5 linked regions of the Xenopus tropicalis genome follow. The main gene of each other region encodes a partner of the protein of the gene in region 3 in a complex. Links are inferred from orthologs where the notes say so. Each region holds a gene or a part of one and is shown on either strand. Other genes may lie near its edges.

Evidence for each region.
Region 1: rbm15 (region 3) and mettl3 share a complex: the UniProt entries of both Homo sapiens proteins name them as parts of the WMM complex. The link is inferred for Xenopus tropicalis from reciprocal best matches to the Homo sapiens genes RBM15 and METTL3.
Region 2: rbm15 (region 3) and wtap share a complex: the UniProt entries of both Homo sapiens proteins name them as parts of the WMM complex. The link is inferred for Xenopus tropicalis from reciprocal best matches to the Homo sapiens genes RBM15 and WTAP.
Region 4: rbm15 (region 3) and cbll1 share a complex: the UniProt entries of both Homo sapiens proteins name them as parts of the WMM complex. The link is inferred for Xenopus tropicalis from reciprocal best matches to the Homo sapiens genes RBM15 and CBLL1.
Region 5: rbm15 (region 3) and zc3h13 share a complex: the UniProt entries of both Homo sapiens proteins name them as parts of the WMM complex. The link is inferred for Xenopus tropicalis from reciprocal best matches to the Homo sapiens genes RBM15 and ZC3H13.

What each region holds. Positions count from the first base shown.
Region 1 is NC_030677.2:141,969,220-141,975,120, forward strand, and holds part of mettl3 (N6-adenosine-methyltransferase 70 kDa subunit), read left to right. Parts: intron 1-851; coding exon 852-1,238; intron 1,239-1,997; coding exon 1,998-2,173; intron 2,174-4,039; coding exon 4,040-4,256; intron 4,257-4,703; coding exon 4,704-4,891; intron 4,892-5,487; coding exon 5,488-5,526; intron 5,527-5,610; coding exon 5,611-5,719; intron 5,720-5,901. UniProt on the Homo sapiens protein: The METTL3-METTL14 heterodimer forms a N6-methyltransferase complex that methylates adenosine residues at the N(6) position of some RNAs and regulates various processes such as the circadian clock, differentiation of embryonic and hematopoietic stem cells, cortical neurogenesis, response to DNA damage, differentiation of T-cells and primary miRNA processing.
Region 2 is NC_030681.2:44,106,179-44,112,726, forward strand, and holds the start of wtap (pre-mRNA-splicing regulator WTAP), read right to left. Parts: upstream 4,289-6,548; 5' UTR 3,982-4,288; exon of another isoform or gene 3,964-3,981; intron 3,764-3,963; exon of another isoform or gene 3,620-3,763; intron 1-3,619. UniProt on the Homo sapiens protein: Associated component of the WMM complex, a complex that mediates N6-methyladenosine (m6A) methylation of RNAs, a modification that plays a role in the efficiency of mRNA splicing and RNA processing.
Region 3 is NC_030678.2:72,274,030-72,280,374, reverse strand, and holds the start of rbm15 (RNA-binding protein 15), read right to left. Parts: upstream 3,789-6,345; 5' UTR 3,697-3,788; coding exon 1,186-3,696; 3' UTR 1,152-1,185; intron 1-1,151. UniProt on the Homo sapiens protein: RNA-binding protein that acts as a key regulator of N6-methyladenosine (m6A) methylation of RNAs, thereby regulating different processes, such as hematopoietic cell homeostasis, alternative splicing of mRNAs and X chromosome inactivation mediated by Xist RNA.
Region 4 is NC_030679.2:76,282,812-76,288,712, forward strand, and holds the end of cbll1 (E3 ubiquitin-protein ligase Hakai), read right to left. Parts: intron 5,644-5,901; coding exon 5,570-5,643; intron 5,119-5,569; coding exon 5,077-5,118; intron 2,639-5,076; coding exon 1,606-2,638; 3' UTR 549-1,605; downstream 1-548. UniProt on the Homo sapiens protein: E3 ubiquitin-protein ligase that mediates ubiquitination of several tyrosine-phosphorylated Src substrates, including CDH1, CTTN and DOK1. Targets CDH1 for endocytosis and degradation.
Region 5 is NC_030678.2:134,300,064-134,305,964, reverse strand, and holds part of zc3h13 (zinc finger CCCH domain-containing protein 13), read left to right. Parts: coding exon 1-83; intron 84-2,328; coding exon 2,329-2,385; intron 2,386-3,069; coding exon 3,070-3,173; intron 3,174-3,995; coding exon 3,996-5,048; intron 5,049-5,763; coding exon 5,764-5,901. UniProt on the Homo sapiens protein: Associated component of the WMM complex, a complex that mediates N6-methyladenosine (m6A) methylation of RNAs, a modification that plays a role in the efficiency of mRNA splicing and RNA processing.

The sequences.
Region 1 (5,901 bases), on a different chromosome or scaffold from region 3:
CCAAACATGATTCTTCCCAAAAGTCTCACCAGCCACATTGACCCTTCAATATGCTCCAGTGATGTTTTCGCTTGTAATCAGCCTATGGATCACAGTGACCTCAGTATGACCACAGAAAACAGCATGGTCACTACAGCATTCTCTACACATTTGCAAACAACAGATACTGTTGAGCTGGGGACAGCATGGGGCTGAAAATGTTGATACTTGTACTCCCCCAGTACTACTTACACATTTTTATGGATTTGTATAGGAACATATCCGTATCCCCTCAGAGAGTAACAGAGAAGCTGTTAAAAAGCAATTGCAAAATTACACCGTGAAACATTCTATCTTGCTTGAATAGGCTAGTGTGTTACCTGTTACATGTCTGGGTGTGTTTCCTTATTATCTCACATGAAATAGCACGTGAAGATTTTTAGCTCACTTTATAACAGCATTCTGTCATGGTTGGGGTGCCCACCAGTGATTACAGTTGCTTTCCTGTGACCCTGGGCCAGTGCTCTTATTTGCTGAAGATTGCATTTAAGATCAAACTAATAGAAGGTGAAAGCAACATGTAAAGGTGGCCCTCCATCAGGCCTAACCAACAGTTATCTGGCCAAAAATTGGGCAGATGTCTCCGGTAACTGATTATAATCACTGTGGGACAGTGCCTAACATTCAATTTAAGGATAGGAGTGCTAGTATTCAATTTTTATAAAAAAAAAAATGGATTTCTGCTTGTGTTTTTGGTATTGTGTCAGTGTTTTTATCAGCTGCCTTCTGTTTCTTACATTTGTTACAAGTATTTTTATGGTGCTTGTTGTTCCACAATCACAATAAATTGACTCTCTTCTCTTACAATGCAGCCTGATTTCCCTGTCACACGCCAAGGAGTAGAAAGCCTTTTACAGAAATTTGCTGCTCAGGAGCTTATTGAGGTTAAGGGTTGGGGACAGGAAGATGATGACCGTCCTACAGTTGTTACCTTTGCTGACCATTCTAAATTATCTGCTATGATGGGGGCTGTTACAGAAAGGAAGGGATCCACAATTCCAGCTGGAGCTAAGAAGAGAAGGCTGCAGGAGGCAGATCCTTCAGCTTCATCATTATCTTCATCCTCATCTGCCAGTGCCTCAGGGGAGAAGAAGGCATCAGAGCCACAGAAAAAGGCAAGAAAAAATGCTTCCCATCTAGACTTGGAGATTGAGAGTCTCCTAAGTCAGCAATCTACCAAGGAGCAGCAAAGTAAGAAGGTAAGCCTCAGTAAGAAAATTCCAAAGACGAGAATTGGATATGACTATAGATAACAAGAAAGAGTGCAGGTATATCTTGTCATTGTTCCTTTTATTTCAAGTTTGGAAATGGTAAGCTGGTAAAGTTCTGTTTCTTGCTCTCTGTCTGGGCATCTTGTGCCCTCAGACCTTGGGGCTTTTACGCAAGGGTTTTTTTTGGGATTACAAATGTATGCTAAGTGCATAAAATCATATATGTTGCATTTATAGGCATTTTTAAGTACAACAATGTGTGTATATTGTGAGTTCAAGTCATATCTCTTTATTATGTTTTGTTATGAATGTATGTAAAATGCACAAAAAACAGCAAGTTGGGTTTTCAAAAGATGCGGTGCAATTTGTCTGTGATAAATCACAGTTCTATGCACACATGAGTACAAACTGGCAAATATAATGGAATCAAATAGCTGACGTGTTTAAGGGCTATAAAACTTTCATCGTAAATGCACAAAAATAACACCCAAAAGGTGAAGGAGGGAAAATTGAAGAGAAATTTGACTTTGGGATACTGGTACTACTTAATCCTCCTTTCCTCCAATTACAGTCAAGAATATAAGCTGTGACCCGATTTGTACTTTTTTATATTATTAAAAAGGCAAAACACATTCTGTATTCAATCCTTGTGTATCAGACTGATGTGACACATAATGTATAGTACTGTATATATTGCCCTTTGTTTACCTTGTTTTCATTGAACCCTAATTCTGTTTGTTTTGCCAGGTTAGCCAGGAAATCTTAGAACTACTTAACACCAGCACTGCCAAAGAGCAGTCCATTGTGGAAAAGTTTAGATCCCGTGGCAGGGCCCAAGTACAAGAGTTCTGTGACTATGGCACCAAGGAGGAGTGCATGAAAGCTGCAGGAGCCGACACACCCTGTAGAAAGCTGCACTTCAGGTAAGACACAGGCTACTTAAAACCAACAACCGATTGCATTTGTTTTTACAAGTTGTTTTTTAACATAATAAGCTCATTCCGTTCATAAATCCCTTTAAGATATATACATTCACATGCATTTAATGGAGAATGTAGTTAAAGCGGACCTGTCACCTTAAGAAATAATTTCAAATTGTTTTCTGTTGTGTTTGGCAAGCAAAATAAACTTTACTTACACTGTATAAATTATTTTAATTTTATTTTCTTCATCCTTGGAATTCACAGCAATTGCAGCAAGCAGGCAGGGGCCATTTTGTGGACACTGTTATCAAAGCAGGCATTGCATCCTGCCAAAATCTTGTTTCTGTGCCAGTATGGGGGGACCTGATGCCCATGTCCATGCACTGGTTACACAATTACATGGTGAGGAGGGAGGGGGAATGTGTGGAGGGCAGCAACATCTAAGAAGTTCTGAATTGAAAGTGAAAGTAACTGTCTGCCCCACCTCTATGCCTAAGGCATAGAGGCGGGGCAGGCATTATATGATTGACAGCTGGGATTTTAAAATGCTTTTATAATGGGTATGGATGTGGTAATAAAAAAATTATTTTGGGTTTCATGTTTAATTTGAAAAGGACTTTTATTATACAACTTTTTATGTCTGGGTGACAGGTCCACTTTAAAGGGACAATTACCCTACAAAAAGCTGGAAATTTATGCTTGCAGACGCTGATGGGCTTTTTATAGCTTTTACTGTCTATAAGGATATATATAATTTATAATTATTTAAAAGTGAAATGCCCTTACAGAGTAGAACAGTAGAGTAAAGGATTGGTTAAACAGGCTCAGTACAGGGATGTTAAAAGATGTTTTAAAACCAAGGAGAATGTACAAAAAGGAATTTTATTTTTGCAGTTTTAGAAATCTTAAAGTGATACCGACACTCAAAAATCTACTCTTCAAAAGATTAATGTACACTAAGTTACCAATACGTTATGCTGATTTTGACATTTTTAAAACTGATTGTTTTGCCAACCTGACTGTCCCTTCTCAACCTGTCAGTTATTGTTTCTAATGCTAACGGACTAACGGAGCACAAATATTGCTGCCCTCTCATGTAAAAGCATTGTAAAAAGAATTATAAGTAGCTTGCAAAGGCAACGTTATGATAGAAGTTAAAAAAAAATGCTGCCCTTTTTTATTTGCTTCATTAAAAATTACATTTACAAATGCCTTTAATTGGTCAGAGAGTTCCTAAATCACCAGTTACCAGTGGCTTTCATTTAACTTTCAGAGCATGAATGTTTGATAGGCTTCAACCTCTATACAGCTCTATACAATGGTATTCTGAGACAATTTGCAATTGTTTTTTATTTTTTCGTTTTTTTAGTTATTTAGTTTAGTTCAGAAGCTCTTCAGTTTGGAATTTTAGCAGCATTTTGGTTGTTAGGGTCTTGTTTACCTTAGCAACTAGTCAGTGTTTTGAATGAGAGACTGGAATATGAATAGCATGGGGTCTGAATGAAAAGTAACAATAATAATAAAATTGTAACCTCACAAATCAATATTTTTTAGCTGCCAGGGTCAGTAACCCCCATTTGAAAGCTGGAAAGATGTAGAAGAGGAAGTCAAATAATTAAAAAGCTATTAAAAATTAATAAGGAAGACCAATTGCAAAGTTAATAGGAATAGGACATTCTATAACCTAATAAAAGTTAACTTAAAGGTTAATCACCCCTTCAACTACAAAATCTACAGAGTGGATATTCTTTGTATAAAATCTATTTCAGGGTGCTTTATTGGTTATATAGTAGCTAAAACTAAAAAAGGTATAATTTTTAAGCAGTTTTTTTGGTTTATTCTACCCATTTGCTATTTCCCATGCAGGCGCATCATTAACATGCACACTGATGAGTCTCTGGGTGACTGTTCCTTCCTAAACACCTGTTTCCACATGGACACCTGTAAGTATGTTCATTATGAGATTGATGCATGGGTGGAACCTGGAGGAACAGCAGTGGTGCCAGAGGCAGTACCAAGTCAAGACACCCCATTAACAAAGGCAGTAGGAGACTCCAGTGTGGGACGCCTCTTTCCTTCACAGGTGAGGAATGTCATTACAGACACCATACTATAAGTGTTTTAAAGCAATATTTTTTTTTATTGCACAAAAACAATTTTACATCTTGGTAGCACAGAGTCTGAGTCATTTCTAAACACTTTCATTTAACCCCAATTACATTAGCCATAGCAACCAATCCACAAATATATTTATTCAGTCTACTGCAGGTAGAATAATACATCTCTGGTTGTTAGGGGCTTATTACAATGGAGCGGATTTGCACTGTATTAGTAATCGAACCTAAATGTTTTTATACCTTTATTGCCAATATACTTACTTAAAATAAACAACGGGTTAATTTTATAAATGTACCAATGCTTTTATTTGGAAATCATATATTCATGCATTAGATCAGAACTTCTAGCAATGAGTTGTATTTTTTTTTTTATTCCTTTGGCTTTCTGACATCTCACTTTTCACACATACCAGTGGATACGCTGTGACATCCGTTACCTGGACATGAGCATCTTGGGAAAGTTCTCTGTAGTGATGGCTGACCCACCATGGGATATTCACATGGAGCTGCCATATGGGACACTAACTGATGATGAGATGAGGAAGCTGCAAATTCCAGTGCTACAGGATGACGGTTTCCTTTTTCTTTGGGTCACTGGGAGGTAAATGACACTGCCTAAAACCCTCTCCTGTTTAAATGCTAAAAAAACATTTTCTAGAATTCACAAATGCACCTTCTGCTTAATTTGAAAGTCCAATTTGTTTTTGAATGTGTAATTTGAAAATTAATTAGCAGTGTTAATAATGAAATAACCTTTTTGCTGATACATTGTAACTTGACTGCCACGGAACATTCATTATAACTCTACTTAGATTGGCCTTGCACATAAAGTCAGGTGCTGGCTCGTTATTCTGTATTTTCACTTGGAGCAAGCCTATTTTATTATCTTGTTTCAGTATGTTTTGGCAATTGTTGGGAGAGAAACATATAGTGCCCAGGAAAGAATAATCTGTAGCTAAGATCTTCTCAAACTGTGGGGCTGCTGCATGTGGAATCACTTAACGAATGACATATTATGACTGCCAAGTTTGGTTACCTCGGGGGTAAATGTTAATTTGTTATGCTTAATGTACATTAAAGACCAACCTAAGAGTTTAGAGGCATCAATTTACTGAAATTAATTTATTTAACCTAACAGTTGTCTGAACACTGTAGCTTTAGCACTGCCTGTCTGTTTGACTGCATTATATATTCTAGGGCCATGGAGCTGGGCAGAGAGTGTTTGAAGCTCTGGGGGTAAGTATATAACCTCTCATCTCTTATTAACTTCCTTCTGATCTCTGTTGAATTTCTTTAATTCCTATGCTTTCCTTTACTCAGTTATGAACGGGTAGACGAGATCATATGGGTAAAAACCAACCAGCTGCAAAGAATTATAAGAACTGGACGTACTGGCCACTGGCTGAACCACGGCAAGGAACATTGTTTGGTAATAACGGTCACTGTCATTATGCCTCGTATAAACATGCTGTCCAAATGTTTGCATGCATGCAGGAAGTTAGAATAGAAATGCATGCAAACACCAACCCTACTCACTGTTTTATAACATTGTTTGATGGAAAGGCAGGCTACTTTTATCCCACTAATGGCTTTAGTTCTTAATGTAGGTAA
Region 2 (6,548 bases), on a different chromosome or scaffold from region 3:
TTACATTACATGCCCAGATTCTGTCAGGCAGTTTAGCTGATCAACCATACTGCCAGATATCATGCTAGATTATGCCTGCATGCCAGGTCAGGGACTGGTTTTAAAACTTTACCTAAAGTACCATGTCAGTAGGTGTACTTGGCAGACGAGCAAATGAAGTGGCGCTACAACTCATCTTCATTTGCTGTAGTTTTGATAGTTCTGGCAGTCATCCCAAATAAATAATAATAAATACAGATAGTGAGATAATGGCTAAAAACTTCCATTAATCTTTTGTATTCCCTGTTATAGCCCCTATCTAGTTAACTGATTGGATTCTATGGAGGCCTAGCCAACAAATGGCCTCCTTAACACCATGATCTACTTTAGGACAATAGTCATAAACAACAAAGCAATAAATATCAGTCAACAGAACGGTTTGGCACATGGTGCCTCTGTAACAAATGAGTATTACAAGTCACATGATTTCAAATACCAAGATAATAGTACCAATTTTTTGTTCCTCTATTCCAGTGGTTATAGGTCTGTGTGGCTTAGGTTAGGCAATAATAGGATTCTGAAACCATAATGAAAAATTTCACTCGTCTGATACAATAAGTTTTACTGTGAATATCCACATGGGCTTGTACTTAGCTGAATATCACTGATCTCTATTAGAAGTTTCAAAGCATTTTTTTACACAAGAACTGTACTCTGGCAACTTGCTAAACTTTCTGGCATAATGCGAATGTGTCTTCGTAAAAAGAAGGTTACGCTAAATTTATGAGGTGGCTTACTAAGGATGTCTGTTGTTTCAAGGGTAGAGAAGGACCTTGAAGCTAGCATGTTTTAACTTTGCTTACTTCCTTAATGTACAGACGGCAAAGGTACAGGATCCATTATATGGAATGCTTGTGACCTGTGTTTTTCCAGATAAGGGATCTTTCTGTAATTTGGAACACCATACCTTAAAAGAGAAGGAAAGGCCAATATATTAGGCACCCCCAAGTGACTTTAATCGCTTACCTTTTACCCCATGCTGGTGCCCCTGTTAGGAGAAAACTGCACCAGCCCGGTGTACCTGTAGCGTTGTTAAAGTTCGGCTTTTCACTATACTCGCAGCAACCCCAGGCTGGTGAGGTTTTCTCCTAACAGGGGCACCAGTCCGGGGTAAAAGGTAAGCGGTTAAAGTCACTTGGGGGTGCCTAACATGTTGGCACCCCCAAGTGAATTAGCCTTTCCTTCTACTTTAAGTTTGCTAAAAAAATGAAACATTACATAAACCCAACAGGATTGTTTTGCCACCAATATGGATTCATGAAGTTAAGTTGCGATTGAGTACACTGGACTATTTGATTAGAGAGAAAAGTAAAATCATTCTAATCAATTAGAATTACTTGATTGGTATGGCTGTCAGTTCATGAGAAAACACCTGGATCTGCCAATGGTTTCAGGAGCCTGTATCTCTTGAACTACTGACTGAAAGAAGTGTGGCTTAAGATGATAACTGAGTGTACACTGTATCCGGTTACATATTTATTTACCAAGTAGCTAACTGATGCATAAAATGCACAAACTGTGCATTTTCAAGTAGACTACAGTGAAAAACCATAAACTATGGGAGGACCTGGCCACTAAGAATTTAACCATTTTTTGAGGCAGCCAGTGTGCGAATGTGATGCACAATGATTTCATATTAAACTGCATTCTAGCTTGATTCCCTGCATGCCAAAATAAGCCTTTAAGTGTATGTACTCTGTATCCCTTTCCCTACAGAACTATATTGATATTTACAATGTTTTCATGAGCAGTTTTTGTTGCTTGCCAGCATCAGGAAATATCATCAAAGATATAACATGCCCTTTCTGTATAAAAAGAGCACTAAGAAAGAGGCAATTGTGGCACTTTCCACATAAAAGGCAGGAGAGGGCTAACCTAATTTGCTTTGCAGGACTGCATGACAGCTTTCTCAAAACTTTTACTCACTCCTCTATAACTAAAAAAACAATGTCACCAACAAGATCATGTTAAACATTTTGCTTTTAACTCTACTTTCGCAGAATAAAAATGAAATCTAATATGGCAACATAGATCTGAGAATGACTAATAATGCACCAGGAGGGTTAACAAGATTGCAGGGCAATAACTAGGAATTAACAAGAAACACACTCAGGTTTATTATATTCCAAAATGAAAGTGTCAAAACCTAAAAAAAAAAAACCAAAAAACTGGTGGGCTGATAGTGTCCGATACCTTGTCTACCTCCAAAACATGCATTATGAATCAGCTAAGAGAACTGTACAAAGTATGTTTCCCTTAGTCAAACCACAGCAACAATAACACCAGATGGATTCAAACTGCTTCCAATTTATATTGACAAAATGTGTGGGCTTACTATAAGCATCTATACACCAAAAAATGTTGTGTTACACATGCAACATTAACATAAAATACCTGTAATATGCAATGCATTTCAGAGCTTTATTGGACACTTGGACTTCTCACGTTGATACCCCAGGGCTTTCCTGGTTCTCCAGTGAGTATAACTACGTTCCACAATTACAATGTTTGTCAAAAAACAATTCTCTAAGGGACATGGCATCAGCTGGTTGACAGCATATAACAAACTACCAGCAACAGAAAGGTATTTTGGTACTACTACCCTTTATCTTCCATAAAGATTAACCATCTCATCTTTGAATCTAATGAAGATGCCATGTATGATGCTCCATGTGAATCATATGCTAACTGCATGAAGATTTGATTTATTGTAGTATCACTGCAATTCTATTGTTTAATGGCATTGACATTTCTTTTTTAATCTTCTTGTTTTAATTCTTTATTTGAAAATAATTTAAATATTTAGATCATCTTAGAATCAAGATTACCTAGAAGTGAAGTCTATGTGGCAAGTGAAAACCTCAGAAGTACTGGATAAAGATTCCAGCCAATAAACACAAACAGTGCTAGCAAGGCTACATTTTACTGTACTCTCTTGGAAACAATCACTAAACTTACAATGGGACACAGGTAAAAATGCTTATATGTGCAACATATTTTCACATATTGCTGCATATACCTGCAAGTCACCTCCATAGGGGCAGCATCTGCTCTCAGGGTAGTTAGTACTCCATGCAATCACAGCATGGAATAAAGCACAAACAGGCAAAACAAACTCCCATGTGAACTAGGATTTTTAAGTCACCTTGCTTCACTTACTTTAGTAACCAAATCTTTAAAATGTTGTATTTACATGAACAAAGGTTATTCTGCTTGTAAAGCAGAGTATTTATAAACAAAATGGTGGGAAAATTGGGGGGGGGGGGTCTCAAAATGTCTAACAAACATGGCTTCTGCAAATATGTGCACTTTTAAATAAGCTGAGGTCTCTCATTTATTTTCCCCAATTATATTCCTTCCAAAAAAGCAGCATGTGAAACTGTAAGCATTGCCACATCCAGTAGTTTCACTTCCATGTAACTGTACAGCGCTTTCCTGCTCACTGGCAGACAAGTGACTGCTCATATACTTTGCATATAACTGGAAACACGGTAATTGGGTGAATTTCACTGCCCCTCTCCACTATCAGAGCCTTTGGAAAAGCATAGTGACAAAGGTTAACGTGTTATTTTCAATTTACATCAGGGAAGTCCTTCAGCTTATGTTCGTTTGCGACAGCAGCTCCCACCACTCCGACTAATCCCAGCGGGGACTGCAGTTGGACATCCCTAAGTCACGTACATCCCTCCTCGGATGGGAGCTGCAGATTTCCTGCAATGCCCTCTCCTTTAACTACAGCCCCGATTCTAAGGTCAGTCACGAGAAGGCCGCAGCCTTCCGAGTTCCGCCATTTTTTTTTTTTTTTTTGGAAGGAACAGATACAGACAATCCTGGTGCCCACCACACACACACACATACACAGAAGAGATTGAGTCACCAATAGTCCCAAAACGTACAAACTAGCACATGGTTTCTGCTTAATACCTCACAACTCAAACCCACCGTGTCCTCTCCGCTTCTGCCTCCCACCTTATGCGGTGAGTGAGCTGCGCAGCCCGGGCGGCTCCTGTCCTGGTACTCGCAATTCCGCGGTGCTCAGAGAAAGAGTTCCTATTGACACCGGCAACAATTAATATGGCTTGTGCGACTTTAAATCGCTACAGGCAAATTCGTAGTTTCGGTCAGTCTTATCAGGTCTCCGAATGTTGCTTTTCTCTCGTCTCTTCCTCCTCTAGATGTCTCCGACACAAAATGGCGGCAGCGGAGGAAATGAGGCGGGAGTCATTTCTCAGTCACACCCCCTGCCATGAGAGAGATACGCATTCTCTTGACTGAACTGGAGCACGAAATTTTATTAGGAAAACGTGCTTTATGTGTAATATATATTTGTGAGTGTGTATATAGTATATCAACACACACACATATATATTTTAAAGTGCCTTATGTATACAAAATTGTTTATTCAAAACTCTATAATTGTAAAAACATTGCCAATTTTCACTTCATATATTTGGCATGATTTCATGTTTTAGGGACAAGGGACAGTTTGTAGACAAGTTGGCTGCCCCATGCCATGCAATAGCAGTTGCACACACAAACTTAAAGGCAAGTTGCATTTAGAACTTTTACTGATATTTAGTATAGGACCCATTATCCAGAACGCTCGGGTCCTGGGGCTTTCCAGATAAGGGGTCTTTCTGTAATTTGGATCTCCTACCTTAGGATGGTTTTGTTCCAATAAGGATTAATTATATCTTAGTTAGGATCAAGTACAAGGAGATGGCCTCTCCGTAATTCGGGTTTCCGGATAAGGGGTCCGATACCTGTATGTATGTAACCTTGAAAAAAACACTATTTTTGTAAACACTGGAGCATTTTGCAGTAGTTATGATGTAAAGCTTTAAAGGACCAGTAACACCAAAAATGAAGTGCTTTAAAGGAGCAGTTCAGTGTAAAAACAAAACTAGGCAAAATACATAGACTGAGCAAAATAAAATTGTGTTGCAGCGCGACTAATCTCCCTGTGTGTCACTGCCCTAAATGGCACAGGTAACATAGGCGATACGCTCTGTAGAATACAGGGCCGGCCCTAGGCCGATTGGACCTATTGCTGCAATCGGGCCCGCGCCAATGGGGGCCCCGCCGTGATACACCTCTTTTTTTTTTTAGCCCGGGTTCCCTTTAAAAATGACGAGCCTTTTCATTGGTGGTCAGCGGGTAATTTGATTGGTCGCGCCCTGTGCGTATATGTGACATCAGTATGCACAGGGCGCAACCTTTAAAAGTGAGGACACAGTGAGCCAGAGGATGCAAGCAGCGGCCAGCTGGAGGAGGAGCAGGGGGACGCTGAGAAAGAGCATGACAAGGGGACTCCTCAATTGACCCTTTGCCTTGAGGCACCCTACTGAACCCCCTTGTTACATACCTTAATGAAACAACAGGAGACAGAGGTGGAGAAAATGGCCACAGCATTTATTCACATTTTATCAAATAAATAGGACCTTGCAAGCCTAACCCAAGGCAATATTCTTAAGCCATAATTTCATAAGAGGTCGATACTATGCTCTGCCGTTCCTCGCTGAAGACTTGAATGAGTATTAGACTGCCTCTACCTACAGAGAGGAAACTCTGATACCAGCAGGAGCTGCATTACCAACCATGAGTGAAGTTCAGCAGCCCTGCTGCTGGTCCTGGATCTGCAGTGTCTTGATGATAGGATATCCTATATCCTTATACCGTATAAAGATAGAGAAAGCACAATATAACAATGCATTCAGGAAAACATCCAGATTCAGTTATTAATAGATATTATGAAATCAAAAAGAAGAGAAATTCCTGACATTTTGCAAAATATGCAAAAAGAGGGAGGGTGGGTGGGATGTTTCTTCCTCCTCAGAAGATACGGACGTGAGTGCCCTCTTTTTCTGACATCACATCCCTCTCATTTTCTCCGCCCCCCAGGCCGGCTTTCTCCTGCCTTAATTCTTTCCTTCTCACCTAATCACAGTTGAACCTAGTTCTCCAATCTCTAAACATAAACCAGTGTAATCTGGCTGCTGGTTATTTGGATCCCTTGTCATGCAGCCCCTGCGCTTATAGCTCCAGGGCTTTCCTGGATGAAGCAGGTGGGCGCTGGGGGTAGAGTTGGGGGAGCTGGGGGAGGCCTGGGGGAAAGTTGACAGAGCTGGAGGATGCTGGGGGGGGGGAGAGTTGGGGGAGCTGGAGGATGCTTGGGGAAGAGTTGAGGGAGCTGTTGGATTCTGGGGGGAGAGTTGGGGCATGCTGGGGGGAGAGTTGAGGGATGCTGGGGGGAGAGTTGAGAGATGCTGGGGGGAGAGTTGGGGGAGCTGGAGGACACTTGGGAAAGAGTTGAGGGAGCTGTTGGATGCTGGGGGGGAGAGTTGGGGGAGCTGGAGGACGCTTGGGGAAGAGTTGGGGGATGCTGGTGGGAGAGTTAGGGAATGCTGGGGGGGAGAGTTGGGGGAGCTGGAGGACGCTTGGGGAAGACGCTTACTAGATACTGTATATCATGACCTGGATGAATGAGAATCTTCATAGACAAACAGACA
Region 3 (6,345 bases):
GACACCGCAAATTCTGTCATTGTATGATCGCCAACTTTTAATGGCCCACAAAGCCCTCCAGTGTCTGTCGAGTAATATCTTTTGTCCTGTAACACAACAGGGCTCTTTTAAAGTTTACATATATGCAAGAACACATTTCTGGTGTTTTGAAACGTCCTTAGCTTCTGAACTTATAAGCACACTTGCCAATAAAACAAAAAATAATAGCTGCACATCTAAAAGATTTGAAATTTAGACATATGCATTAAGGGAGCAATTGATAATCTTATTTCTATATACATGCTATGTAGTATAAATGACAAAGTCAATTGTTAGCTATGACCCTACATAGTAAAAATGTATGTGATTTATGTGACACGTGGCAAATTTAGAGCTTCCTTGCATAGCTTACTCTATGCATGAAACCTACATACTGGCTAAGGAGCTCTCTGTGGTATGGGGCACTCTTATATCTGACACTTATATGGCACTGTTCTACAAACATGCTATATGACCCATTTCTTGATGGAGGAAATAAACTAAACAGAGTAAGTTTAAAAATAAAATTCCTTCTTAATATCATTCAAATCCTCTCTTTAGATGTGTAGGATAAACATATATATGTTTGTGTGTGTGTATATATATTATATATATATATATATATATATATATATATATATATATATATACACACACACATACACATACATACAGTATTTACACTGAACTCTACTGCATGCTGCAGAAAACTAGCAGAAAAGTGGATACTCGAGCATGTGGTAACGGGTCAAATTAATACATGGAAGTCTTTTTTAACTTTGTATTCCCAATTGTTGCTGGACAGCATCACATGAGAACATTTTTGGTGTTACAGTCCAGTGACAGTTTGGGAACCAAATTTAAGAAGTAATGTATTCAAAAATTAGCAGAAATCTCACACTTAAAAAAATTCAAGAAGTTGCCAAAATCAGAAGATTGTGATTACCTATGCTAAGAGAATATAATTTAAAGAAAATGGGAAATAGGCAGGAAACGTCAACACTTGAATATGGTCCGGTCCTGTTTAATTACATAAATGCTTTTGCTAAGCAGATCAAAAACTGCAATACAAAGACTGAACTTGCGATTACAAAAAAAAAAAAAACTAAAAGTTATACTGTATCCCATAATACCTTGTGAATAGTAGACAGAAATACAAACATGGACCTAGGATGCCCCACGAACTATAATCATTATAAGGTAGTCATCATCAGACTTCACAAGGGCTTTTGCTTCAGCATCAAGAAACTGCTGGGAAAAATTACAGGGAGGAAAAGCATGAAGAACTCCTGCATGATCTTTGTCTTTATTGCTCCCAACGGGCAGGCTGATAACACCTGCGGCTTGTTTTTGTTTTAAGTAGGACACCAGGTTTCTTAGGGGTCGTTGTGTTGAACTGGCTTGGTCCACTGATGAACCCTCGGAAGTACCAGGAATGGCAAGTAGGATGGCATAGCCATTAGGCCCTGCCACTCTGATGCGTCGAGTAACTTCATCCAACTTTGGCTGGTCAAGTCGTAGGCGCTGTGTAATTTTTAGCTGTGCCACCTTTCCTCCTGAAGGTCCCTCAACCAGCAAGCTGGATGCAACTCCAAGATCTCCTTGCAAAAGGTGCATATTGGATGGAAAATTGCTGTTCTTAAGCAGCAGCATACCTTGCCAAGCCAGACACAGCTTGTGTGCTGCTTCTGATTTTTGTGGAGGTTTCACTTTGCTGTTGCCCTCTGGATGCTCATCCTTTTTTAAAGGGCTTTTATTTGCAGGTACACGATGCCTTCTTTCTCTTTCAACTGAGTTTTTTCTATCATGTTTGTCTTCTTGACCCCGCTCCAGGCTTCCCTTCCAATCTCTAGAAGGTGAGGAGCGGCATGCTACTCGATCAGAGTCATTGTAACGGTTGTCTCGACCTCCACTGCCTTCAGGGCTACGTTCAGGAGTGACACAGTGTCTCTTTCTAGAGCGGTCACTCTCTGGTGATCTGTCTAGGTGACGGCTATCATCCAGTCTCCTTTTCCTGGGCTGATCTCTGTTCACTTCATCTCTTTCACGGTCTCTGTCTAAAGCCCAATTATCTGCACGTCGTTCTATTGTTTCAAGAGATTCACTAGTGACTCTGTGTCTGTCTCTGGCAGGAGGTGACACCCAATCATTGTTTGTATAAGCATCTCTTTCCCTGTCCCTGAATATTAAAGGTGGTGAACGATCTCTGGCTCTGCTGGCTTCACTAGTCCGATGTCCTGGTGTCTCCTCTCCAAAATCAATATAAGGGATGGGTAATGGCTGAACATAAGGATGTGGAAAACGAACATCTGCTTCTGCAAAATCCACACGAAGTCTTCTATGGTCACCCCCCATAGGGAAGCCTCTCATCTGGGTACAGGCAGCTTGGGCAGCATCCAGACTTTCATATTGTATATACGCCCAGTTTTCCCCCTTGCGGTAATCAATTTGACGGATGGTGCCAAATCTATCAAATTCCCGGGCCAATGCAGTTACTGGTACCCAAGGTCCCAGACCCCCCACCCAAAGGCGGTTTGTTGGTACTACTTTCCCATAGCCGATCTTTAAAGCATGACTACGAAGCATCTTGCCGGACATTGCAACCTTTGCCCTGTGAGCCATGTCAAGGTTTTCAAACTTTATGAAACCATAGGTCGTTTGCTGCCCACGACCAGCTCGTTTTATATCTACTTCTGTAATAGTTCCAAAACGTCCAAAGACCCTATAAATTTCACTCTCCTTGACAACGACATCCAGATTTCCAACAAAGAGTGTACGATTAGCTCTGGCATCAATCTCTAAAGCAAGGTCTTCGTCTCTAAAGTTCAGTCGGGGATCTACTGTGTAGGTAGACCTTAGCCGGCTATCATAAAGGCTGTATTCCCGTTCCCTGTCCAGCTCCCTGGGTAGAGCTGCCGGAGCCGGTGGGAGGCGCCCCAGAGCCAGCTGCTGCAGCCTATAGTCTCTGTAGCCCAGGCCGCCGGGGGAGAGTGCGCGCTGGCCGTGAGGGTGCCTGTGTGTGGCTAGTGTGGAAACAGCGGCGGCGAGTCCGCCATACGAGTCTTTCTCCCCAGGGCTGCGGCTGCGCCTCCGGTTAGTACCGCCGACATTCAAATAAACAGCCTCAATCTTGAGGGGTCTGTCGTAAAGGACAAGCCTCCCGCGGGCGTGCTTAGCGGCTCGGGCATCCAGGGCGCGCCTGAAATTCACTAAGGCCACACGCTCGTCCCCCTCGCGAGAGATTTTCACACTTACGTCTCCGAATTTTTTGAATTCATGGAAAAGTCCATCCTCTATTGCCTCGTCACTTAGCGAGGAGCCCAGCTCGCTTATCCGCAAGGATTTGTAGTATTCTGGCTCTGCACGGCTCTCTGTAGCCCGGCCGCCGCCGCCTCGGCTCTCAGCGCCACCTTTACTGCTGCTACTGCCACTGCTTGCCCCGGGGGAGCCGTAGCGATGCAAGCCCTGGGCTCTGCTCGATTGATCATAGTCGCGGCTCGAGGAAATAGCCTTTTCCACATGCAGGCTCCGGCGGCCTGTGCTGCTTTCAGATGTCTTTCCCGATGATCCGTTACTGCCTCCACCGGAGCTCAGTTTTTTTCCGCTTCTCTCGCGAGTTGATTCCTCCGCCCCCCGGGACCGTTTGGCCTTGGCCGGGGAGCGCTCTTTTCCCTTCATGGCGAGTTACGGGATGATAGTGTCTTCACACACAACTACACTCCGCCATTTTGCAGCGGTTTCGCCTAATTGACCGCCCTGAATAGCGATTGGGTACTTTCTGGCTTTCTTAAAATTCTATTGGATAGCTCTGCAGTCATTCTTACAAGATCGCATAGGATGGGGTGGTCTTTGGGCACGTCACTTCCGCTATTTCTCTGCGTTTCCCACGGGGCGTTATGGGTTGGCTAATGGCTACGTTGCAGGTTTATTAAAGCTTCGATCCATCCTTTCACGCGTGAAATCTTTTGTGCTACAATGGTTTCTAAGGTTTCATTTGTTTCATATCAATTTTACTTTTGTAAAATTTCAGTGAAATGTAAAGAGGAACGTTGGAAAGAGACAACATTGGCATATCAGATGCAAAGCGTTTTAAACAACCCAGTAGAATCGATTCTATATACTTTTGCAGGTTACTAGGCTGCTGGATAGGAGGTGCATAATTGTTCAAGTGATTTTAAGCCGAGAACGTCGTTTCAGTTAAAAGTAGATTTTTTTTTTACACATTATTAGTGGTGTAATTAGTTGTTACTGGTCCCCACAACAAATTCATTTTAGAACTATTAAACATATGCTAAATTGGGTAATTAAAATTGTTTTTTTGTAAGGACCATTCTAGGCCCTTTGAATCTCTAGTCTGTTTCCCTTTGTAGTACCACCCCTACAGATTATTAATACACTATTTCATGTTTGTGTTTCACTCAAACATATCTTACTGGTATTTCCTTTGCTGTTATTGTCAAACAATCCTAATGCAGTATTGTTACTATACAGGGATATATAGATTGTAGACCTTTGGTAACCTCTTTAACATTTTAACACAATGTTCTATAAGGTACATTTATTAATACCGTGTTATGTGCAAAGTGCAATTTTCAAAACAAATTTTCCAGCGTACTTTATTCTAGAATTCAAGCCTTGCAGATACTTTTATGTGATTGTACACAAAATGTTTTGGGCATTGATCCCTTTATTAAATGTGAACAGTGGCAATGTGTTCAGAATGTAGGAGAATATAGCTCCAGATCCCAATAACCTATTTAAACCATGAACCTCGTAAAAAGGTTATTTCCCAGATTTTTTTTAATTTATGCCCACCAATAAGTGACTCATTAGGTGAGGCACTGAACACAATATTACAAAGCGAGGCAAAATAGATAACAAAAACTATCAAGTACAGGTATCGGACCCCTTATTCAGAAACCCATTATCCAGAAAGTTCAGAATTAAGGGAATGCCAAAAATGGCTTCCTTTTTCTCTGCGGAAAGACTGCTTATCTGGAAAACCCCAGGTCCCAAGCCTTCTGGATAACGGGTCCCATACTTGTATGTGAAATATGGAACTTTAGAATATTATGATGACATATCCTTCTTTTCTTTTTAGATGAGTGATGAATATGGAGCTTCTACTGGATGTGTTCAAGCATTTTTTTGTTTTCAGGTATTGATATAAATTAAGTGATGTAGGAGCTAATTGAATGGGTTAAATGTTTAATAAACATGTTTGGGTCCCCTGCATAGACCTGTTGAGGGCAGTATCCTGTTTAAAATATTCTTTTAACAGATAATTGTTTTAATGGATTTTTCTAATATTTTATGAACTTTATTATTTATTATGGCCTTTATTGTTGGTCCTACAGCTATGTAAGGTGACACAGAATTTAATGGAGCCCTTATTTAATATGCAAATGTGGGCAATGGATGCATCACATAATGCAAGAATTGTTGAAAAATACATTTTGACATGGATTGCACTTTGATGAGGTTTTTGGAGGTGGAGCCAAATAGCCTTTGAACACACACAGGGGCCAATCCCAAAAACATGTTGTATGCAATAGTATAATAAAGTATTTATAAGGTTTGCAAGCCCTGAGTAAAGGTCCCCATACACTATAAGATCCAATTTCAGGCCAGATATCGGTCTGTCAGGCCGCTCGTTTCTTCCCATACACGGGCCGATTAGCTGCCGAATCGGTCCAAGGGACCGATATCGGCAGCTTCTATCGGCCCGTGTATGGGGGCCTTTAGTCTTTGTTCCAACCACATTTTTTCTGGGTCCAACAATGGACCCAGGTGGGGGATTTCATTTAGAACAAGTTATGTGGACATGGCACTATATATAAATTAATTAAATAATTAATACATCTGGCATGTAATGTTAATGACCACATTAACATTTAATTCACTAGGTAGAAGTACATTCATTGTGTAAATGCAACCTGTGCTTACAGTAATGACAACAGATCACTTAAAAATTCAGGGACACTTTTAATAAATGCATGTTGCAGGGCTGAACTGATTGCATTTAAATTAAATTGTGATCATTGCAGACCTTCTAGCTAGATTTTTTAGATGTGTCCCTAATTTTTAAGTGATCTGCTAACCTTATGTTACAGTGACTATAAGGGTGAAGACGCACAGAACTACTAGTAGCAGCTACTTTTTCATGGTTACGAAACCCCAGAAAATACCCTGCCATAGACAGTACTGAGAATTGCCTCTGCTAAAACACACGTAGAGACAATTATCAGTAAATGATCGACATTGTCTATTTTAGTAGCCACAACAAGTAGCGGCTACTAGTAGCTTTGTGTGTCGTCACCCTTATGT
Region 4 (5,901 bases), on a different chromosome or scaffold from region 3:
TGCATCAATGTGTCATGTACACAGCACGGGGGAATAACATACCAAGGATCCAAAATCGTGCTCCCAAACTACAGAGAACAGAGAATCTTTAGGATGCTGATGCACAGGTAGATAAGCAATTAGGAAAAAACACATCTTGTGATTAAAGAAGGAACAACAAGTAGAATCTTTAGTAACAATAATTTTGCAATACCTTTCCTTTTCCTTTAATCTACTAACTTTAATTTGCTGTCGTTACATTCTTTTAAGTAGCTGATGTATTCACATTAAGATGTATTTATTTATCCTCCAGTCACGATCAAGCAGAACAGGTTATGTACAGTGTAATGCATTTGTCACACGATTCACTATCCAGGGACAGGACTTTTTAGCACTGCAACCAAGTTTAAATATTACACATTTTTTGTTAAACAGACGACAAATGCTCTCAGATTTGGCACATTGCCATGATTAACAAATGAAATGTGAACTGAACCTCAAATATCAGATGGGACGGAAATGCTAGTTCCTGGTCATGGCAGAGCAAAAATCTACTAAAGGAGACATACTTATTGCTGTATTGCATCAGATGTGTGTCACATTTAATGTTCAGTATGTTGGTAAGCACTGGTCATATTATGAACATTTACAATTAAGACTATTTAAGAATGGCAAATAATGTACATGGTGGTACAGTTCATTTCCCCCCAACATCCCAGATGTAACATTTACTTTCAAACATTTAGTATTTTGATATTATACCACCATGATTTTTTTGCATCAATGTAGGACCTTCCTTACAAAATTATAGCAGTATTCCCCAAACCTCTAGCACCCATCTTCCATGTGGTGAGCTCCACTTATCACATAGGCTCTAAGTTTTAGTGTTACAAAAGCATATTATACAGAATAAAGGCATATTATACAGAATAAAGGTAATGTCAGACTAATAGATTTGTTGCATTTTGCCAAACCAGCGAACAAAATGCTACAAACTCCTGATATTCAAAGTGAATGGCAAACACTGTTGCCGTGCTATTCCATTTCCATTGTCTGCTGTGTCAGAACCCTATTTACAAACTAATATTTTAATTCTCAATAAGGCAGACACTAGCTGACAGAATAAACAGCCTACTTTCTAATCAATGTAAGTGCCATTATCCGCTATGAAGTTTGCTTGTAAATCAGACTATAAAGATTTTTTTATTATTAATAAAACAGAACATTTAATCTTACAAACCAAGTTTTTTACTGGCTGTAAAAATTCTACAATGTTATACAGCGGTTACTTGTTATATCTTACAACTCAAGGAAAACAACTACTACTGTACACATATACTTACATTTATATTACATTGGGTGTAACATATCATTAAAATGAGACACTTGCTAGGAAATGCAGAAGTTATAATCTTAAGATGGCGGTTTGTCAAAATCTAAAAAAACACAAATCTGACTGTATGATTAAAGTCAAAATTTTCAGAACATGTAGTTCAACTGAAATTGTGTTTTTTGCTTACAACACCCCCAAAAAGGGAAAGCCACAACTGAAGAGACTGTATACACATTACCATAAACCTGCAGCTGAAGCAAAAGATTACATCTAGCAAGTTCAGCATAAGTATTTCATTGATAATACGGCCTGTATCTGGCCTGATCTGGATGATGAGGTCCTGGAATAGGGGCTTGAGAAGGAGGCCCTTGCATTCGGGGGGGTGGCGGTGGTCCTCTTGGAGCAGGCCACATCCCAGGGCTCATTCCCCCAGGTTGTGTGAAGGGAGGGCTTAGAGTTCCTTGATCTTCATTGAACTGAGGCAAAGAACTAGGATTATAATGATGAGGAGGAGGAGCATTAACTGGTGGACCACCATGTTGTGGTGGCGGAGGTCCTGGAGGAGGATGATTCATGTATGGTGGGATTTGAGCAATTATATGTCCCGGTGGGGGTGTTATTGGTGGTGGAGCAGTTGTCATTGGTGGTGGAGGACCTTGGCTGTAAACCATGTGAGGTGTCCCAGCTGCCTGAGGAGGGTGTTGCATTGGATGACTGATTGGAGGGGGTGGTGGAGGGGGTGGAGCATAGTGCTGCTGTGGAGGCATTATATGGTGAGGATGAGCCACCACTGGTTGGCCTGGATACTCTGGATGATGTAGAGTAGGACCAGGTGCCTGAGGAGTTTCTCTGGCACCAGAATTGGAATCATCCTGAATAGGCACTGTGATTAAGTTGCTATGCTGTCTAGTAGATATCCTGAAAGCATCCTGATTAACAGAGCGGGGTGGAGGCGGGGCTAAGGAAATTTCTGCTGGAGAGGGCCGAATATCATCATGTTGTTGACTGAAATGCTCATGAGGAACATGTTGCATTGGGGGAGGTGGCATCAATATATGTTGTTTTGGAGGCATATGACTTAGATGATGCTTATCTGGGGGCATTATAAAGCGATCTGGGATTTCTGCTGGGGGTGGGGCCAAAGGAGGATGGATTGGCTCAGGCTGAGGTCGGGCAGTTGGCTTGGTAGCTCTCATGTGACGGTGGTTAATGTGTGCCTGCAGATCTCTTTGAGATAAATATGTTCTCTTGCAACCTTGCACAATGCTACACATGAAGAGAGAGCCACGTGCACACTGCTCAATGCGTTGAACGGGATCATTGCAACTGAAAAGGAAAAAAAAAAAAACAGAAGTTTCTTAATGCTGCTTGGAAACATACTAATATTCACATCGATGTCCTATTTGAGACATTTTCTTAATGAATGAAAATCTTCCTCAAATTAATTTAACGTAAGATGAAAAAAATATTCCAACCTAGTATGAAAATTTCCTAGTTTTAAAAGTAAAGAGGCATATTTACTACAATTAAAATTGGGGATTTCTAAATGAAACCCCAGCAAATTAAACTTTATCAGAGTTATTTAAATTATTTGAAAGACAAAGCCACCAAAACCTTCAAATTATCGCCAGTTGGGGCTTATAATAAATTACAATTGCATATGCAATGTCATAATTTACCAGAACTTTAAATAATGCATATATAATTGCATATGCTGCCTCAAAAAGATAGGCATTGACGCAATACTCTAAAAACAGTCATGCAGTTACATCACATCATAATTTAATGGCTGCAAGAGTTTTAACGGGCAAAACCATCTAGAAACATTTAAGACTACAATATTGATAGAAGCTAAATGATTTGCCTTTAGAAACCTACCAAATGATGGAACATTAAAATAACTTAGGTTGCCAAGTTCTTAAGTAGCCCCCAGCAGTTCCAAAAAAAAAAAAAAACCCATCTTCAAAAAACATACCAGCCTGGAGCACAGTCCTCCAAGAATTGGAGGATCTACGAGATTTAAAGAAAATTGCAACTCGGCACTTGGTAAGTAGTGCCCAAGGCTGTGCTTTTTTTTTTTTGAAGAAGAAGAAGTGCCAGTCAGGGTAGCAGGTAAGCAACTGGAATCACTATGGGTGATGATGCAAACTGTATAAAGTTAATGGGCAGGGTCTCTTGCTCCTATTTACCAACATCTTGTGTCCGTTGCCAGTACTCCTTTGAATCTGTTGGAACTATATGCTTGAGCAGTAAAGTAAAAATCTTTAACTCAACTACTCATACTAAAAGGTCCAGCATAGCCAAAGGCATCGTTAGCACGAGACTTAGGCATTTTACATTTTAGGCATACCTGTGCAAGTGTGAAAGATGGGCAATCATATCCATAAGTGCTCAAGCTAGCAGAAGAAAGTTGATATCTGATGCACCACATTTCCAGCATGCATGCTGTATCTGCAGAATAACTATTTTTCAAACCACACTGTTGCCTTACGGTATCTTAGTGCTTATCAGATGTAGGAAATAGTCTCAGTCTGCATCAAGTTGAATCAGACCTAGTCATTTACATAGCATGATAAACAGCTACACTAAATCACAAAAGTGTATCCCTGTGGGTGAATAAACTGTTTAGGTTGCTAAGCCATAATCTGTCTCTGTTTAGCTACAGAAAAAAAGTAGTTAATTGAATGGATACAGAAACATACATTGTTAAACATCAGGTAAATTCTGAGGAAAACTCAAGTTTTTTAAATTCCTATTCCAGCTTTGATTTTATCAGTAAAGCCGTTCCAGATCAGTAAAAAAAACTAATTGCAAAATTTACCTAATGTTGGGCTGCATGTTTTATATCTTTTAAGTGTCAACATGCGGAAGGATGTGCATCAACTACGCTAATACTGATCGATATAAGAAATAAAGACAGCCCTTTTCATTAAGAGCTCACAATTGCAAAGATTTGAGCTTGCATCTATTTCAGCATCACTTTCTTTTTCTCATTTAACAGAATACAACCTTGAACCTTTAGTTATTGCCAAAGCACCAAACCTATCCCAACAATTATTAAAAGTAAAATCGCAATAACAAAATGTATGGGATCTCTAATTTGTAAGGTAGAGAAAGCTCCGAACAACAGGTCATGTCTCATACACTCCATGTATAGCAAATAGTTACTTTTTTTTCCCTTTCTTTTTGCAATAAAAATGTCTTGTTCTTGATTACATCTATGATAACATTAATCCATATTAGTGGCAAAACAACCTTATTGGCTTTAATATTAAAGTTATTCTTTACGTATGGTGATCCAGTTCACAGAGCCAGAAAACCCCAGCTTTTGAGCATTCTAGAAAATAGGTACCATACTTCTTGCCCAACTAAACTATTGCAATATATCAGTTTCAGTGAACTCATATAAAGAACCAGTGCTAATCAACAATAAAAAGAGCAATCCAGAACATTGCTATTTTAAAGCTTTCAAAAGTTTTTCAGGATGAAACATGTTTTATGCATAATAAAAAACAAACTCTGCTATATTTTTAAAACAAAAAGATTCCTTGCTCATCAGGAATTAAATGTAATCACGCTCATAAAATTACAACAAAATCATCCCCACATTCTGTGTGGCAAGGCTGTTCTTAAGTAAGTTGAGGTGTTAACATCAAGAAATGTAGCTCATCAGCAAATATGCTGCAATATTTTTTTGGGGAAAAAAACATTCCTAACCATATCTTTGCAGTTACTTAAGAAATTGCTAAACTATTAGAACCTACCTCATACGCTTAAAGGTGTCAGTACTTTCTTCAACAAGTGTTCTTTTGGGAGGGGAAAAAGAGACATTACACCACAAAATAAAAAAAAAACAAAATACACATTCCATTTAGCTCCACCCTGTAAGGTATTTAAAGTGAACCAAAAAAAAATCAAAAAAAAATCACATGACTAGAATAATAAGAACATCCCTCAGCTAAAATAATATTAAAAAATAAAATAGAGAATGTAGCATTCATAAAGGAAACAGTACCCACCCTAAGTAACAAATAAAATCTGGATTCATGCATGTTTATAAATATACTTAATGTTTAACGATTGTTAATTAACTTTGTCAAAAGAGAAGCAACTACCAAATGATTATGAGCAATATATTGACTTATCCATCTTATCGTCTGCTAGGTACTTTTGAGGAATAAATAATACACTAGTACTTAGCCCCAAATAAATATTTTTTCTACTATTTCTAAGAAATAAATGTAATTGTAGGCTTACCCTGGACACAGTTTATCTGCCTTTTTCTCATGCATTAAAGCACAGTCATAGCAGAAAACATGCTTACATGGAATCTGAAAGGAAAACAAAGAAGGTTTTAAAATTTGAATTTATAAGTGTATTCTACACATTTTATGAAGCAAGAGAGTGTGTTGGCAAAAAGCAGCTAGTATTAATCATCTTCTATGAGCAAAAGGTAAGGTCAACCAAACTAAACTGACCATGTATATAAAAAGGAGGTACCCTTCCATTAGAAAAAAAAAATGTATTATGATCAAATAAGGAGGCTATAATTTAAAACAAAGACTTTAAATGGCCCGAAGTGTGCTTAA
Region 5 (5,901 bases), about 62 Mb from region 3:
GAAAAAACAAGAGAAGACCGAAGGGATAAAAGAGAAGATGTGCGGGAAGAGAAAAGAGAGACGCATGAAGATAGAAAGCCTAAGTAAGTATTTAAAGGTGTTTGTTTACTTTCAAAAAATGTATTTAATACAGTCAAATGTATTTTTTTTCCCCTGTAAGTACATTCTGAATATTATACTTAATTTACAGCTACTGACCTCTGAATAAAAGGGGCTGTATCACATTTGTATGAGAAAGGATATCATATTTCTACATCAGAGATTTTATTTGAAGCACACCATTCAGCAAGTAGCACTGTTCTACATATAAAAAAGTATTTCTACATATGAAAACAATTGCATATTGTTGCTGCAAGTGACCTAATCACTATTATATTTCACATATACATATTATCACCAACTCACGAATCACCACTATGTTTCACTTTTTGTAGGTCCACAGCAGCTGGACAGCCAAAGGTGTTCTTCCTCTGCTGCTTCTGATTTGACACCCTCCACTACTGTAACTGTCACTGTACTAGTCTAGGAAAAATCCTTATAGTGCCTAGATAATACTCTTAATTTCTCATGTGACAAAATGAAACCTGTTGGGAAAATGGTTATTCTAACTGCATTATATTTGCAGTTTTATATTGCTAATACAGGTTTTTCAGTTCATTAGCTGTCTGAGGGTCAGTTGGTGGCTTCAGCTGTCGATAAGCAAGCATGTAGAAACATTTAGAGAATGCTACTGAGCTAAAAGCCTGGCATTGGCCATCTAAAACTGTTGCTGAATTAGGGATGCACTGAAAACAGACAGGATTTGGTTTGGGTTTTGGCCAAGATTTGGGCTCTTTTGGCAGGATTTGAATTCGGGCAAATCCACGCTCCTGGGCCAACCAAATCCAGATCCTTAAAATTACGTGATGTAATGCAAATTTAGAGTTCAGTATTCGCCCGAATCTCTCTCAAAGGAATTCAGGGTTCAGCCACATCCAAAAAAGTGGATTTGGTGCACCCCTACTAATGTTGAAAAGATTCAACATTTCTGCGGCTGAGAATGAAAGGCTATACCTCTGGAAACACTGAACTCTGTCACGACTTGTGTTGGAAGTGGGTTACTGCTTACAGATTTAGCAGTATAAGACAATTAAAGGAACAGTAACATCAAAAAATTAAAGTGTTTTAAAGTAATTAAAATATAATGTGCTGTTGCTCTGCAAAAAACTGGTGTTTTTGCTACAGAAAAGCTACTATATAAATAAGCTGCTGTGTAGCCATGGGGGCACAGGTTACATAGCAGATAACAAATAAACTCTGTAGAATACAATGGCATTTTATCTGTTATCTGCTAAGTAACCTGTGCCTTTTGAATGCCTTTGAATGGCTACCCCCATGGCTACACAGCAGCTTACTTATATAAACTATAGTAGTCTTTCTGAGGCAAACACACCAGTTGTAGCAATGCAGGGTAACAGTAAATTATATTGTAATTACTTTTATACACTTAATTTTTTGGTGTTACTGGCACCTTTATTACAAGTGCCGACTTGTGTGTCTAGGGTTTTGATAATCCTCTGTCTTGTAATATTAAAAAATAAAGTACCAGCACAGAAAGATGTTAAGGCTAGTGCCACACTTGGCAGAATCTGCCAGTACGCTTAAAAAATATGATAGTTGTAGCTGCACCCGGAACCATTGCTTGGGCTGGGATACAGCCACACTAAGTGGAATTTGGCAAAAAAACCTTCAGTATAAGAACAGATGTTTTAGTGGTTTTGATGTTTTCCAACCCCCAATGTTTTTGATCCCTATTGATTATCCATAAACAATTACTATGCAAACCTGCGGACATGCACATAAGCTATTTACAATACAACATACAGTCATGTACCTTTTTTACCATTTCAAACAAGAAGTTGCTATATTACATTCATCATAGATTGCTAACAAAAATAAATACTGATATTGTTCCACGCATTTCCAGCAACTTGTATATGTAGCTTAATGATGTGGCTGCATGCCTTTTATGTCAAAATGCATGTGGTTCCTATATTTGCTGTAACTAAAACAAGGTTATTTTTGTGTCGAAGAAATACTTTTGCAAAAGTCCTTGCTGATCTGGTTGCTGATGTGCACTTTTCATGGGTCTCTGATTCAGATTATCACTTCTAGTATGATGGATTTAAAAGACAATTTGTTTTTTTTTTAAACATCTGAACTGCCAGGGTCACTGACCGGCAGTAGTTTCTGGAAAATGAAAATGAAACGCCCTGAATACAAAGAAAAACCATGCAAGACAATTCTACATTAACAGCATAGCCTCACAATCTACATTTTAATTTCCAGGTCGGAGAAGGGCAAAATAGAAGGGCAAATAAATCAAAACCTACACAAAGACCAACGGTAAAGTTGCTTAGGATGCTTAAGATACTAAAATATTAAGGTGATCTTCATGACTAAAACATCGTTAAAGAGACACTATCATGTGGGCAGATTTTTAAATCTGAAAGCAATGCCTAATGGTATATATGGGGGGGGGGGGGTAATCTTTAATCTGCCTTTCTCCAGTCATAGAGCTTTCTGTATAACAGTTATGCCTGTCGCATAGTCCTTATACAGATCTCTAATAATTCCCTATTTTACTGGTAAAACAAGAAAAGATAAAATGTTGGTTATAGTGCTTTTTTCTTAAATAAATTAAATTGTGTAAATGAAGTAAGGTTTTTTTAAGGCATCCTAAAAATGGAGCACTTTATTCTTCATATCAGTTAGCTGGGTCGGGTGCATCTTTAAGGAGCAATCAGTCAGTTCTAAAGTGGCAATTTTGATTTCCTTTGTGACAGACATATTATGTTCTGTTTCTGGCAGGGCAGTTCTGAGGGGGATGTCTCAGGAAAGGGGGAGGTTTGGTTGCATCATGGAAAAGTTGTGTAGCTATGGGTGGAACAGACATGGCTAAGAAATGTCCCAGTATTTAAATCTGTAATGTTGGGAAGTTCTGCAATCCCAACTTCAAACTTTTTGGTGCGCCCAAATTATCTTCATTTTATTTTTCTAAATGTGTGGTATTTTTTTTTTCCCTAAAAGAAAGCGACACAGGAATGAAAGCAGCCCAAGCCCACGCCAGTCCCCCAAGCGTCGCCGAGAACACTCCCCTGATAGTGATGCTTACAACAGTGGAGATGATAAAAGTAAGAATTGCGTCTTAAAACAAAAAAGTCTTCATTTTTACTAGATTTTTACAATTTTGAGCTCTTCCATTGCCTTACTTTTCCAGGTGGCTACAGCCATGTGAATTATGATCTGATAAACTTCAGTTTGTTTTTGTTTTTCTGTTGGATTTGCCTTTAATGGTTTAAATCAAATAACTTGACTGCGTGAACCACAACTTGTAGAATCCCTTGACTTCCATAAGTCAGTAAGGGAGCAAATTATGTATTGGGCATTGCAGGATTTGACCTATAATTTGGTACTTGTTTGTGTTTGGTTTTCCTTATGCATCAAGCCTTCGCCGAGGCAAGAATATTTAAAAACTCTGCACTTATGTAAATGCGAAATGTACAAAAAGGAACATTCTGCAGCCTCTAAATGACCTCAAATAGTTAGTTTGGTTGAATATTACTGCATTTTTAAAATTAATAAGCAAGACTGACCTTGAGACTAATGTCTCCATGCCAGCCATTACAGAACAACTTTGCTTGGTGTCTGTAGAATCTGAACTGTAACTTTCAGGCTCTGCAAGTCTTAATCTGCAATCAGATATGAAATGACAGCAGGAAATGGCTTTTGAGGGCACCCAGTGGCCACATAGTGTACATAGTTCTACTGTGCAAGAGTTATTTCTGCATCTCTCATGTAAAATATATTTTCCTTTAAATTTCAAATAAGAATGTGGTTGGTCTGCCTTGATTCAGCCATAACAAACATAGTAATAAGGTATTTATAAAGTAAGTATGAATGGCAGGCTTCTGTCTCTGCTGCCATATTGTAAGAATTGTATTTTTTGCTTGCAGATGAAAAGCACAGACTTCTGAGCCAAGTGGTTAAACCCCTAGATACCCGTTCTCTAAGTCCTGCTCATGTTAATGAAGAAAGACAATCACGCTGGAAAGAAGAGGAACGCAAATCAGAAAGAAAGGAGAGCTCAAGGCGCTATGAAGAGTCAGAAACTAAAGAGAGAGCAGTTCCTGCAGCAGAAAAGCAGAGGGAACATTTAGCAGAACCTAGTGAAAATTCTAAAGTTAAAGATCTGGACACTGTTGTTCAGCACAAAGCAGAGGAAAGGGATATTTCCGAAAAGCTACACGACGACAAAACAAAGAAAACAAAATTGCAAAAGAAAGCTGCAAAAAAGAAAAAAGAGGATGAGGTTGGAACAGAAAAAAGCACAACAGAGTCTCAGTCTGATGATGTTCAAGTCTTTTCACCTAAGAAAGGACAGAAAAAGAAGAGTGTTGAGAAAAAACGTAAGAAATCCAAGGGTGACTCTGATGTTTCTGATGAGGAAGTTGTTCAGCCTAGCAAAAAGAAAAAAGGACCTAGAACACCACCCGCTACAGTTGCTCCAGTTTCGGTAGCAGCACCCATAAAGGAAGAAGTCGTTGAAGTGTTGCCTGAGAAAAAAGTGGTAGAGAAAAAAGTGGTAGAAGTTTCTCAAGAAAAAGAGACCGCATTTAGTGACTGGTCAGATGAAGATGTTCCAGAAAGAAAAGAACCTGTTCCTTTAGAGAAAAGCATAGAGGAACCTATCAAAAAGCCTTCTAAAGTCAAAGTAGAAAAAGAGGAACCTCGACCTGCAGCCGCCGAAGAACCTCCTCCTCGTAAACCCACAGAGCAAAAACGTAGCAGCAGCATATCCAGCAACCAGAGCCGCACATCCAGCCGCCTTCGGTCACCATCCATTGATTCTGTTCATCGAAGTGGAGAAGACCATAATGCAAGAAGGAGATTATTGCATGGTAGCTCTAGAGATCGTGACAGAAATAAAAGCATTGAGCCCACCGGGGAACGCAAGTCCAGGATAGATCAGCTGAAACGTGGAGAGCCTAGCCGCAGCACTTCATCAGGTGGGTCATTCAGTAAATCGAACAAGGCTTTTTATTGAATTTTAATGGATTATGTCGGTTATTGTTTATCAGTGTTTTTTTGAAGATTTTACCAAATCCTACAGGACAAAAAAATTAAAGAAGATCATTGTGAGAATCTATAAAAGTATAGGTCACTTTTTTATTGTATATTGGTTGACGTTTTTATATTGTTACTGCTGTCATTCCGGCCCAACTGAATTGACATAAGGACTTGAGAGGCCCTCTAGAGGGTACATATTGTTATAAGGTACTAATGTTGTAAAGTCAGCAGCATTTAAACTAATACTTTTTTATGCGTACCAGACTTAGGAAACATTAGTAGTAAATTAGTAGTAAAGAACCCCTTTGTACAAGAAAGTACTATAAGTACTGTAAAAACTTAACTTGGGGGAATGTCGGAATTAGCACATCCCACACCATGCTTTATTCCACACAGTTACATATCAAGGTAGTTGCTTTGGAATGCTTTACTTCTCTTGCAGGCCTTGTTTTTATTAATTATGTGGAGCAAGTATGCTCCTCATATGGAAGTCACCAAGAATAAAAGATTTCTTATTTGCTGCACAGAAACCCAGTTGTGTAGTTTCTTTAGTAGTAGAGACGTTTTACTATTTACACCTGCACACAGCTGTCAGTCTTATATTGATTGAGGAAAGATACCACAATAGTATAAATGTGTTTATTTGTTTAACAGATCGTCAGGATTCAAGAAGTCACAGTTCCAGAAGAAGTTCCCCTGAATCAGATCGTCAGGTGCATTCCAGATCTGGGTCATTTGACAGCCGGGAAAGAGCTTCCGAAAGAGAGCGTTACGAATATGAGAGAGAGCGTG